Neodiprion lecontei: one gene and its partner. The protein of the gene in region 1 interacts with the protein of each later gene in a pairwise test. Links are inferred from orthologs where the notes say so. Each region holds a gene or a part of one and is shown on either strand. Other genes may lie near its edges. The genes, in order: serine/threonine-protein phosphatase 4 catalytic subunit and immunoglobulin-binding protein 1b.

Region 1 (8,202 bases):
TCAAGCTTGGTGGTTTATTCGGTTAGGTCACCGCCTGAATTAATTCAAACGCAAGCGATACAAGAATTCCATAACTTGATAAGTAAATCATAAATTTCAATAATGACGGCTGAAAATAGGAAACGGAGATGATACTCTTTGCCTCTAGTCTCCATACATATATCATCCATAATAATTATATCATACTAATATTTATATTAACTACTTTCATTCATAACGATTCATTACTTGCAATAACAATAATAATATTATTGTTATTAGGTTGCATTGCGCACGCGTTGATTATCCATCCCTCGATCACAACGCCGACCTGGCGGCCACAAAGTGAGATAAATAACCGGCCGTGAAATCAACCACACCCACTACCTTCGTTGCCAGACCTGTATGTAAGACCGTGACTAAGGGCGTGTTCGGAAATTGACTAAAAGTACTGTCAGTATTGAAAATCGACAGTATACGTCACTTGGACTATACCATTTTCAGTACTGACAGTATTTTCAGTCAATTTCCGAACACGCCCTAAGTAGGCCTCTCCCTCACTAGCGCTAGCGGCGAAAATTCACAACATCGGCTTCGTTTTCGAGCACGGTTTTACAGCCGGAGTTCCCAGACCTGTCTATAAGACCGTGTTCACAAGAGAATAGTGTCGCAGTTCTCTTGTCAAATGAAATACTGTGTGCTGACTCCGTCGGTACTCTGATATGGAGACACGTATTGAACAGGCAACACGTCATACATGGTTGCAACAGCATTACCAACGAACCAGGGAGACTAGAGTGAAGGAATGGACACAGCATAGGAGAATAAGTAGTAACGGCGTCCTCAAAAACCCGTTCTTCAATTAGTTCTCCGCTCTGCCATTAGCATCACATAGGTCGAAAAGATCGTAAATATAGTAATAAAATTAGTCCACACCACGCTCTTACATACAGGTCCGCAAAACTAGTAGGGTGAGCTATGACTCAGATAATGAGGCAAAACCGTGGTTCTCGTCTTCGCCGTCTGCAGCGCTGCCCCCTCGGGGTGAGCCAATCATAAATCAGATCCGAACAGCCGATTTTTCGGAATCAACAATCCTGAATAACACTCAAAAATGAAGAAAGATGCGAATAAAAAATGATTGAGATGTTTACTAGCATTCCATGGCGGGCGTGATAATTGTTTTATTTTAACGGAATCCTCAAATGTTTAAGTCAATAAAATCCATAAACATCAAGCGAGGGCTCACAACTTTTGAGACAGTTTGAGATCTTGTGTAGATGATCCACCGTTTACACACTTTACACTGAGTTATGAACTGTCAAAAACTTCGATGAGCAGGTTATCTTATCGGTATATATCTATATCTATCATACCCCGGGCCAATGGCGCCCCTAGCGGATGGATAGAAAACAAGACCGTGTGCCTCACTAACGGTGACACCCCCTACCACTCAAAAGTGCCGGAGTTACCAGACCTGTACGTAAGACCGTGGCCCACACGATGAAAGTGACCGATCCGCGCTTGCGCAGTAGAATGAAAAGTGACGCACCTAAATGATAGTATATTAGAAGTTAAGGAGACTATTTCGAGAATTGTCAAAACTTTTTTTTCATAAATAACGGGACAAAATTGTCCTGAGCTTCTCTCGATTCATTACGCGAAAATGATAAATTACAGATTCCTAATGTTTCAGCTTATTTTTATTCAACGAAATTTGATACACCCATTTTAATAAACATAATAAATTAATTAACACTGCACATTAATAACAAAAAGCTTTACACATGTAAACATAAACACTGCACGAATTTTGCCACATTGAGGTTAGAAAATAAGTAGTAACAGTGTGTCTGATCTAAATATATATATATATGACTACGATCTTTTTGATCGCAGCGCCGCCGTTTTAGGCCGGGATTTCGTGTTCATTTCTGAAGCACGCTGTGTCCACTCCTTTACTCTAGTCTCCCTGCAACGAACGACGCGCGCACCACGCAATGCATTGTCGGAAATAAATGGAGACCGGCAGGAGATTACGGTGAGAAAAGCCAGCTTCTTCGAGTGATTAGAGTCTCGTCGAAAAATAATCCGTTCCTCATCTAGACGGTAAGGGAATTAGTATTTTACAGTCTGTCCATGAGCTGCATGCTTGGCACTTAGTGCTTTTATTTCTCCGTGTTTTGCTCCGATATTACACTAAACACGCAGGTTCTCGTATATCCATCGTAATTAGTAGATTTATAAACTATTTTCACTTAGAAACTCAGTTTTTTTTAACGAAATGCTCTTACCGTATCTTGGCTGCTATTTCACTCGTACTGTGAAACATCCTTCTATTTCATTATTTACCTAATCTTATTGCTGTTTCAAAAATCGCTCGATATCTTTACGCGACTTGTGTCCGTTCATATCTTCCTTGACTAACCTGCTTTTGCATTCGATGTAATCATAGTGCTTTACCTCAGGTCGTTTTCCGACCAAAAACCTCAATCTGCCTCACAATTTACCTAACCCAAACATATCTGCCTAAACTGGCCCGTCATGATTATTCAACAATTTAACTGAACTTGGAACACCGCGTTCAATATTTCAGGTTAGATTGCATCATTAGCTGCCTTTAGAGTATGCAAAGTTTGATCTTTTATAAACCAGAAATTTCAACAAAGTAAAAATGTCTATATAACATTTTATTTGTATTTTTATATGTTTACAGTTTAGGAGCAGTAAACTAACGGAGCAATGTCCGATTCCAGTGATTTGGATCGGCAAATTGAACAGCTGAAAAAATGCGAGATTATCAAAGAAGCCGAAGTTAAGGCTCTCTGTGCTAAAGCTAGGGAAATCCTGATCGAAGAAAGTAATGTGCAGCGAGTCGACTCACCCGTTACTGTAAGTTGGTCGTTGAACCCGTAAATGTGCCAATATTCGATTAATTCCAAAGTCACTATAAATGCGTGAAGTGTATCAGAAATCTGTTTGAAATTTCATTAATTTATTTTTTAAAGTGAAGACCACATTACTACAACAAGATTCTATTAGCCATACGATTCTCAAAATGTATTTCACCTAAATATTGATGGCAGAATTGAGAACACAATTGTAGGCTGCATATTGGTCCTCAAATTCTACACAGAACACTCAACGTTTCTTTTCTCTTCTGAGGAGTTAAGAACACTAATTTCACGGGTTCCCTTGCAGTAAATATAAAAATCCACTGTTTTCTCTTAAACCCAGCCAATATTAGCTGTTCGTTTGATGACTTAATTTTTTTCATTATACAATTGTTAACCTTTAAGGAAAAAATCGCCAGAAAATTCTAATATTTCATGAATTACAGTTACAAAATGGACATGTCATACACTTTGCAAGAGTTCGTAATTCCTATAATTGATATTAATCCTGATTTTCATAGAATTTGGCATGTACCTTCTTCTTATCATTTAAATTTTCCACATTTTGCAAAATTTTTTATCAATAGGCTGAAGAACATCAAAACGATTTTGCCTATTGAAAGTCAATCCTAGACTTTTCTGTAATTCCAACTCCTAAAAACCTATCGTTCTCCAGGATCTACTTCCCAGTCTAAAAATTGCTTCAAAAAAATGTCTCAGGCAGATTATTCACAAATTAACAAATTTTTTGTTGATGAATACAAAGTTTTACTTTTTCTTTTAATCTTTTGAATTGGTTAGCAATTCATTCCAACAAGATTAACCATAAATTTATATTTTTTAGGTTTGCGGTGATATACACGGACAATTTTATGATCTAAAAGAGTTGTTCAAAGTGGGTGGCGATGTTCCTGAAACGAACTACCTTTTCATGGGCGATTTTGTTGACAGGGGATTTTACAGTGTTGAAACATTCTTGCTTCTTCTTGCTTTAAAAGTACGATGGTATTCTTACAAGAAACTTCAGCTATATTGATTACACACTATACATTAAAAACTACTAAAAATAAGTATTAAATAAATGATATAATAAATATGTTAAGCGAAATATCAGAGTTAAAAATTTAACGAAAGTTATCCAGTGTACACAATTATGACTCTTTTTATTTTCAAATCGTGAATAACAATGTTTGCAGGTTCGCTATCCCGACAGAATAACCCTGATCCGTGGTAATCATGAATCGAGACAGATAACGCAGGTTTATGGTTTCTATGACGAATGCTTGCGCAAGTATGGAAGCATAACAGTGTGGCGATACTGCACAGAGATATTTGATTACCTGTCCCTGTCGGCGATAATCGATGGAAAGATATTCTGCGTTCACGGTGGTCTTTCACCTAGTATTCAAACACTGGACCAAATTAGAACAATAGATAGGAAACAAGAGGTATGTTGTTTAATACGGATTATGCTTTATCTAAAAATTAGCGTCAATGCAAATTCGACAATTAAGAAAATATAAAAGTTAAGGAAGATGGTTAACCACAAATCTACTTTTTCATCAATTTTATTACAAAATAATTATTTATTGAGCATTTATCAAATTACTATATTCAGAGCTAAGAAGAGCTCTTTGAAAAAACGAGAATAGAAAATACTGCAATCACCTATAAAGTACAGGTTACATATTGATGGTTTATTTCAATTAATTTGAAAATGGTTGAAAATCTAGTAGCTTCATTCAATTTCATTCCACAAAAGCTCATTTTATTCGGAAGACCATTTTCTACAAAGTCACTGAAATAAATTTTCTTTTTTCCTCATGTCGTTAAATTAGATATTCACGGATTGCGTCAGGTGAAAAAAATGTTTTAGTTAATTTGTAGGAATTAGTCTCCTGAATAAAATGAGCCATCATCGAGTGAAATCGAGCGAATCTACTAAGTTTTTAACCGATTTTGAAGTAACTCGAAACAACGCATCGATATTTAAGCTTTTGTTTATCATGTCAGTATTTTCTACTTTTGTATTTTTGAAGAGATTTTCTCACCATATGTATATAATATCTGCATAAATACTCTGAATACAATTATTTTGCAATAAAATTGATGAAAAGTATTCATTTATGGCTGACCAACTACCTTGAGATTTTGTCACCACCACGAATTCAATTCAATTCGTTCACAATAATTTCAGGTACCACACGACGGTCCAATGTGTGATTTGCTCTGGTCAGATCCTGAGGATACGCAAGGATGGGGCGTTTCTCCTCGAGGCGCTGGATATTTGTTTGGTAGCGACGTTGTTGCACAGTTCAACTCTGCTAATGACATAGACATGATTTGTCGAGCCCATCAATTAGTCATGGAAGGGTACAAGTGGCATTTTAATGAAACAGTCCTTACGGTTTGGTCAGCGCCAAACTATTGCTACAGGTAATTTTTCTTCTTATATAATTAACCATTGAGTCACTGTAATACCCTTCTATACAATTTAACAACAGTATTCAATCAAGAGTATCAAAATATTGGGAATGCGTTTTAAAAATATTTTCTCAGAGATAAATCTTATATTTCATAGAAGCTTCTGATGACAGGTATTTAATTTTTGTTGTCTGATATCACCTTACCACTTCAAACCTTTGACCTTACAATCAGCTTCATAGTCTACTACTTTGAAAATATCTGAAACGTAGCGTAATGCCAAAAGACACATTTCAATCATTTTCCTGATTGTCGAGATTTTATCGACACAAAAGTGCAACAGTAATACCACACTGGACCCGATACTCTAATAGACAGACAGATGGAATTTTTTTATTTCAATACTGATCAATTTTAAATGTTGCATTCTTACTTCATACAGATGTGGTAACGTAGCAGCGATATTAGAACTGAATGAACACCTCCAAAGAGATTTTACCATATTTGAAGCAGCACCGCAAGAGAGTCGAGGAATTCCGAGCAAGAAGCCTCAAGCTGATTACTTTCTGTGAGATTGACTTATTTGGCAAGCAACGTGCTGCACTGCAGTTAAACCTCGACTCGGAGTCAGTTCGTATCTTTACGTTCGCTGAAATTGTACTAATTTTGAATGCATCGGCTTAGTACGATGACACGGTCAAAGTTTAATTGTAAACAGCATCTAAGTGGAAGAAAAATAGTCTTAATTAAACCAATATGAAGTAACGTATTTCCGAGCAGATTTACCAATCTTGCGATTTCTAGTTCACCATGTTATTCCGCATTGGATTTCACCGTTTTAAACAAATCTTGGCATTTGTTGTATCAAATTTGTCCTGTCCGTAAAGGGTTTTTCCATTTTGTAGCCAAAATGTCGTTAAATCTTGCGAAAGGAAACGATTATACGTTTGTTTTCGGATCAATGAGCCTTAGTGCTTAAGTCAAAAGTCAGTCGAAGAGAAAAACTCGTTCAAAAAATCTGCAATATTGTTTGCACCAATGATAGCAAACGCAAATAAAACAACATCCCTACTACGTAATAGAAATGATTATTAGCAAATTCGGATCACACACACTAAAGTCGTCAATAAGGTTGATGAAGTGAAAAGGTTGCATAAATATAGTGTTTCAATCAATTTACTCTGATGTTTTTCATCGAATTCTAATGTGTTTGTGCTCATCATACTAGCTGTCCAAAATTCCACAAATTGTGTGAAAAACATTCCAGAAATTTCACATTCTAGTATACACTTACAATACACAAATGTAACTGTTGACGAACATCTGTTATATCGTACTTATATAAAAATACTTTTATTCACTCTGAGGATTACTTGAAGTAACATTTTTTCTAGGTTATTTAGAAGTCTCTATAATGAACAAATAATGCCATAAACATTAGAATCGGATTAAAAAAAACTCAGTTTTATGTTTTTTAACGTTCTAAGTATAAAACTTTATCTTGAATTGTTGATATCTTAGCTTATGTTATTCGGTTTGTTCACATTGATTTCCATTACACAGATATTAATGGTCTTTCATACGCGTTTACCACAATTGGTGCACATAACATTGTTGGATATTTTTGAATGGTTTCTTATCTTCTGCGAACGTTTAATGCAGTCTCTACGGCCCATTCATCTGCAAAAGCACATGTGCTTGTGAAGTTATTGTGAGTTTACAATTTACAGCGAGGGATGCTTTTGGCCCAAAATCTATGATTCAATGTCCATTGTTATAGGACTTGATATTGAATAATAAATGCATTATATTAAGAATATCTACGTGAAAATATATTGATTGTGAATTCGATCAGACAGGATCATGCTGTATCTAAATTTGAAGCATTTAAATGGAATGTTAATGTGATTTTAAACTTTCACTCTCCGCATTACACCCAATTTACGTAATCGGTCACAAAGTTTGTACAAATCCAATATATTCCGGAAGGTCTGTTCAAATGGGTGATTTTAAAATTGCGTTACATACATACATACATAAATACATACTTTTCGAATAACAGTCGTTATGAGATCAATGAACCAAACTTGAAAGTCTGCTTAGCGATAAAATTGATTGTAATGTCAATTCCCCAGTCACATGTCAACTGATATTTCTTTTCAATATTGACTTATCCGTCATTGTAATAATACGCCTACCACTTCATTTAATAAACAGTAAAAGTAATTATCACTTTTTACGTACTGTCAAAGGGTATATTATTATCTGATGCTTGCTAGAGCCTGTTTTTTAATTCGTAAAATAGAGCTAATCGCGTTCTAGGTAGTAACTATTTTTTACCGACTATTGTAGACTTATTTTAAACTAGTTTGTACGTAACAGTGGTACAATAAAATTAAGGAATAATTTTTACAATTACTTGGTTCTTTTCGTTGTGGTCATAATCCTACGATTATTATTAATGCTATTATTAATAATGTAAATATACGGACATTTGTACGTCTTTTTCTGTGAAAGTTATAATCTAATATTATTCTTTTGAGAAAATTCTTCTCAAATACGAATGAAAAAATTTGGACGAGGGATAAAAAAAAACTTGTCCAAAGATAAAGTGAAAATAAAATCATAATTGTTGTTTTCAATTATACAATGTGTCAAGTGGGTGGATGTTAATTATCTGCCAATAACTCTCGAGAAAAAAAATTGTGAGACAAGTAAAACATAAGAGAATTACTTAAATAAGTAATTGTATATTACTTTTTTTGACCGGGTAATTTTTTTATCGCCATCGCAGTGAGATCTGATAATCGAGAAGTGTGTGCAGGCCATACAAAAGTTACTCGGTCGGTAAGATTAAGTTTTAGATCTACGACGAAATTCCAGTAGCTAGCCGGTGTAAGTAATA
Region 2 (4,856 bases), on another chromosome or scaffold:
TTTAAATGCCATCTCAGACCAGACACGACTTGAATTTTCATCATAGATTTCTTACGTTTTGATTTGATTCTGGAGCTGAACATGAATTATTATGTCGCTAGAATACACCTGGCGAAAATTTTAGCATGAACACACATTTCATTTAGTTATTTGCATGAAAAATCTTTATTTAAGAAAGACGATCGACGGGGAAGGTGATTGACTGGCAAATTGCAAAATTATTTTCTTGCAATTCTGCACCGTTTCGACTGAGCCCAGCCAGTCATCATCAGGCTGATTATCTATATGTTGGCCTGCGATCTTCGAATTTCTTGAAAATTTTGCCACCAACAAACTCCTCCCAAATTACTCATAAATTGCTCTCTATTTTTTATTATTTGTTTCGACACGATTTTCGAGAAAATCGAATGGTCCAAGATTCCAAGTTATTTCCAGAGAACTCGGTCGGTACGCAGCGTTTGTATTTTAAATTCAAACTCTCCATACTGGCTAAGAGATGGCGGCTAACACATCGAAAGTCGTAGAATCACTCGCTCCAGACTTCATTCAGTTAGCTGTCCTTAGTAACCTCTAATCAATGACCGTTAGCTTTCCATATGCCACCAGGAATTGTACATACGTGTGTGAATACCATACGTGTCAAATATCTGTCAGACACGTTGGATGCGTGCCGCGCTGGTTAGCTGACATATTTTGGACAATTCCAACTGATTATCGGTAAGAGAAGAGTAAATAAACTTTTTTCAAGTTGACGATTGTATAGACATGGAGTAATGGTCAATGTTAAGTACATGAGTATTAGTCGGTAACTAATTAGCTTGTACCAAAGTAAGGGAATATACCTTACCTTTCGTTACAATTAGCAGCATGGTGTAGAGTATTATTGAACAGTATGTTTGTTGAAAGTTTTACTAACTCCTGTTTAGTCTGTAATTGAACAGTAGACCTTTGTTATTTATTTTTCCATTTAATTACAGGTAGAAATGCGGCAACTAAAGGGAAAAACTAAAGAAACTAATAAGCAGAAGAAAGAGCGAAGGAAAGAATTCGTTGAAAACAAACAACGATTATTCACCATTGTTCTACCGACGTTTGCTGCAATATTTCTACTCATCGTTGTATATGTGTATCTGAAAACACGTCCAAAGCCCGTAGACTATTAAAATTATGATATCTACAGAATAATAACATTATCTAAAATAGCTCTAAGGATTTTTTAAAAGGAACATACAATTATAATCAATCTGCATCTTGTTACACGATATGCGGTGTAACGAATGAATACATTATTTACATAATTTCAGAACATGAACGTATTTGAATGCTGAAATATCGATAAATATCAGATGTTTGTAAAAGATGTTTTGTGGATTTTAATAACCTGCACGATAGTAATATAAAATTGAAATTCCAAGTCAACTACCTGGATCTTCTGTCTTTACATATTCTCGGCCTAAGCGGATATCGAATTGTGAAATGAAAAGAACCGTCGTCAGCACAGTATTTTACTATAAATTTTATACGTAAGGTTACAGGGTCCAATTTAAATTGTAAGCATGAAGATTTAAATACAAATAAATTATTTCCCTACGACTTGATTTATTAAAATTTTTAATGTATCAACTGAATCGGTTCTTTACAAAACGATTTTGTACCGAATCTTTGTTCGATTTCGTTCAACGGAGAATTGTAAAAAAAATCCGTTTACAAGGACATAAAACCTTATGTTAAAATGTTGTAACGTTCACGATGAGTGGAGAAATGATGGTATAAAAATATAATTCTATCTGGCCGATCCTTTCATAAATTATAAGAATGCGGAATGGAGAAATGATGACCATTTAAATTCAGAGACGAAAGCCGCGCGTGAGAAGAGAAGCGCGCATGCGGCAATTTAGCGGCAATTCCGTGTCGACTGACAAGTGGCGCGCTCCGTGCGGCAATTCGACGTAAAATTCTCGTCTAGTGATGCGAAATCTGCGAAATCATTAGATCTGATCGAAGGTTTAGCTGGAACGGGGTGTGGGTGAGATCGCACGGAATAGAGGCTAAACATTGTAAACAAACGTATGTATGCATGTACCATGGACCTAGTATACCTATGTACCTACTCATCTCTGATATGTATGTACAGCCGACTGCCCGAATAATGGATCCCAATAAGTCAAACGCTTCGAGGGAAAACCTGAAGCAATTACCTCATGGAGAAGAAAAAGATGCGGAAAGCTTGTCTCAGATTTACGACGAAGGATTTGCCCTGTTCAACAGCATAAATAAATCCCAGGAGGCAACAAATAGCCCCAAAATACAAGTAGGTTTTCCTACGCGGCGTTTCTCATAACCTACGCAGATGCGGTCTTAAATTTATTAATGTTTGTTATTGTTGTTTGTTTTGTTCGAAAAAAAAGTGTGAAGTTAGGAGGGCGATGAGCATGTTCGAAGATGCAACCAGATTGGTATCCATGACGGATATGTTTAGTGTCAATGAGAGTTTCGAAGAAGTGGCGACGGCAAATATCAAATACTTTCTGCTGCCAGCTCTGCTTGGAACTCTGACGCTAAAGATTTGTGGAACGAGCGACCGATTGCACATTGTTGACGTAGCGGAGATCTATTACAACGATTTTCTGAATAGGCTAAAGCATTATGGACTGATTGATTTTGTACTACCTGAGAAAAAGTCGAGCGAAGAAAATTCAGTGAGGAAACCAATGTCCAACGCCGAATTAATAACGTCCATGGTTTGTAATCAATGAGGAGTTTCTCAAGGGGCCTATTGTTTTGACTCGTCTAACCTTCCTGGTTTGTAGGTGTCGACAAGAAATACAAAACTGCAGAGGTTCAAGGAGCAGAAAGAGCTGGAAAGCAGACTGGAAACATTAACTGAGAACATGCGCAACCCAAATATAGATGAAGAATCGAAGAGAGAGTACTACGTTACGTTAATCAAGTCGTATGTGAACCAAGCGTTGGATGATTTAAGTTCAATAGCTTCGGAGAGGCCAATAATAGAGCACATGATTAAAGTTGGGCACAGTGATCCCTTGGCTGCTCAAAACCCAAGAAAATCAAAATTGCCTGGAGTTAAACTGAAGCCGATCATTATTACGAGAGATGAGCTACAAAAACAAGTTTATGGAGCTGGCTATCCAAGTCTACCCGTTCTGACTGTGCAAGAATTTTATGAAAAAAGAATCAGAGATGGCGAGTAAGTCGTCCAATATTAAAATAAATTGCTTCATTTTAGGAACGATAAAACCTAAGAACATCAATCTCAAGACTTGAATCTCACAATATTTGGTGCTTTCAGCTGGCCAGATCCGTCGCAGAGAAATCAAGTGAGTGGCAAGTGCCTACAGAATATTCCGCCCAACACGGATGAATTGAAGGAAGAAGATATTGAGGAGGAGCAAAAAGAAAACCAAGTCGAGAAAGACGATCCGCAGCTTCTTGCCCAAGCTCGTGCCATGGATGAATATAAAGATACTCATAGACGAGGTTGGGGGAACAGAAGCAACAGAAGCTAAATCCATAAAATATTCAGACTCTTATTTCATGCAAGGTGGTCCATCGGAATTGACTTTTCTATTTAGTACTGAACCATATATATGGAAAGAATTCCAACGGTACTAACTTGAGGTAAAAAAAATGGAGAACGTAATACCACGTCTTTATATGGGAAAAAGTTAATAATTGTCAGTTCTGTAAGGTAGATTCAATTTGAGCATTACATTTTGTATGTGGCTTATAATATTTTTCAATTTTTCACTGCTGGAACATTTGTTTTGACAATCACTGTTTTCAGGTACTTAATAGCTGAATTCTGGATGCTTTCAAGATATCTAACTTATTATCAGACTGTTGGAATCACGTATAATACTACTTGGATCGTACGGGATTTTTTTTCTTGTTCAAAATACGTACTAGTTGGAAGTTTGACACATGGAGAAATTAAAATGTTTCTAGGAGAAAAAATCGTGTTTCAGTAGCAGATCGTCTGAATCAATCATGATTTTTTATAACGTGTATCGATGTATGTACATTAAGAATATACCTTCTGATCTTTGATATTATATGTGTGGTGAAAATATTTGAAACATTACTGTTACTAGATTTGTTCTTGTTGCTTAGTATCGACCGGTTCGTGGAGTGAACGTTGTGAGAAAAGCGCATATTGACTCTCGCGAAGGAAACACAGGTCCCATGCATTGTAAGAAGAGAAGATTTTTCCCTCTTATCGTCGAATTATAATCTTCCTCCGATACTTTGCCGTCTCGATCGATATCAATTTTTTTCAGCAGCAGGTCTATCAAGTCCTAACATTAATAGAACAATGAGGCAAGATTGTAAATTTTTTCTGTCTCTAGTGTTAACTAGTATTGAATTTGAAGTATCGTTTAAAAATCACCTTCACTCCTTCGTCTGGATCGTCATCGGCTTGTTGCTTGATCAAACAGCCTCTCATCATCGGAAATATGGACTCTTTTCGTATCTTTTTCGTCCTCATGAAGTCGTAAACCTGACAGCCAAGCAAAACTGGTCTATTATGACAAGCGACGACTAAATAATATCTAATTACAGATTCATAATTAGATTCACCTTGTATCCAAATTTTATTTTCTCATCCAGCGATCCTCGCAAAACTTCTGAGAGTCCCAAATTCCACGAATCCATTGTGATCTGTATTTTGATTTCTTGCCATTAGGAATACACTACGTGTGTTACTATTAGGAATGGCAACATAATTATTCAATATTATTCACCACTAGATCATTTTTCTTGTCAAACGCCGAGAATATTCTATCGATTAGATAATTTTCTGTAAAATCTAATCCAGCGTGTAGAAGATCTCGAAA

What was found.
Region 2: the proteins of serine/threonine-protein phosphatase 4 catalytic subunit (region 1) and immunoglobulin-binding protein 1b interact in binary tests that used the Caenorhabditis elegans proteins (3 or more experiments, as listed by UniProt). The link is inferred for Neodiprion lecontei from reciprocal best matches to the Caenorhabditis elegans genes pph-4.1 and ppfr-4.

The regions. Positions count from the first base shown.
Region 1 is NC_060261.1:25,917,602-25,925,803, reverse strand, and holds serine/threonine-protein phosphatase 4 catalytic subunit, read left to right. Parts: upstream 1-1,937; 5' UTR 1,938-2,088; intron 2,089-2,695; 5' UTR 2,696-2,721; coding exon 2,722-2,871; intron 2,872-3,717; coding exon 3,718-3,870; intron 3,871-4,069; coding exon 4,070-4,321; intron 4,322-5,070; coding exon 5,071-5,309; intron 5,310-5,739; coding exon 5,740-5,869; 3' UTR 5,870-7,523; downstream 7,524-8,202. UniProt on the Caenorhabditis elegans protein: Protein phosphatase which plays an essential role in meiosis and in early embryonic mitosis.
Region 2 is NC_060262.1:173,599-178,454, reverse strand, and holds immunoglobulin-binding protein 1b, read left to right. Parts: upstream 1-1,957; 5' UTR 1,958-2,078; intron 2,079-2,108; 5' UTR 2,109-2,122; coding exon 2,123-2,311; intron 2,312-2,408; coding exon 2,409-2,741; intron 2,742-2,810; coding exon 2,811-3,208; intron 3,209-3,310; coding exon 3,311-3,527; 3' UTR 3,528-4,073; downstream 4,074-4,856. Other genes in the region: single-pass membrane and coiled-coil domain-containing protein 4 homolog, read left to right, coding at 984-1,163; EF-hand calcium-binding domain-containing protein 1-like, read right to left, coding at 4,128-4,316, 4,409-4,519, 4,600-4,680, 4,764-4,856. UniProt on the Caenorhabditis elegans protein: Probable regulatory subunit of serine/threonine-protein phosphatase PP4 which may play a role in meiosis and embryonic mitosis.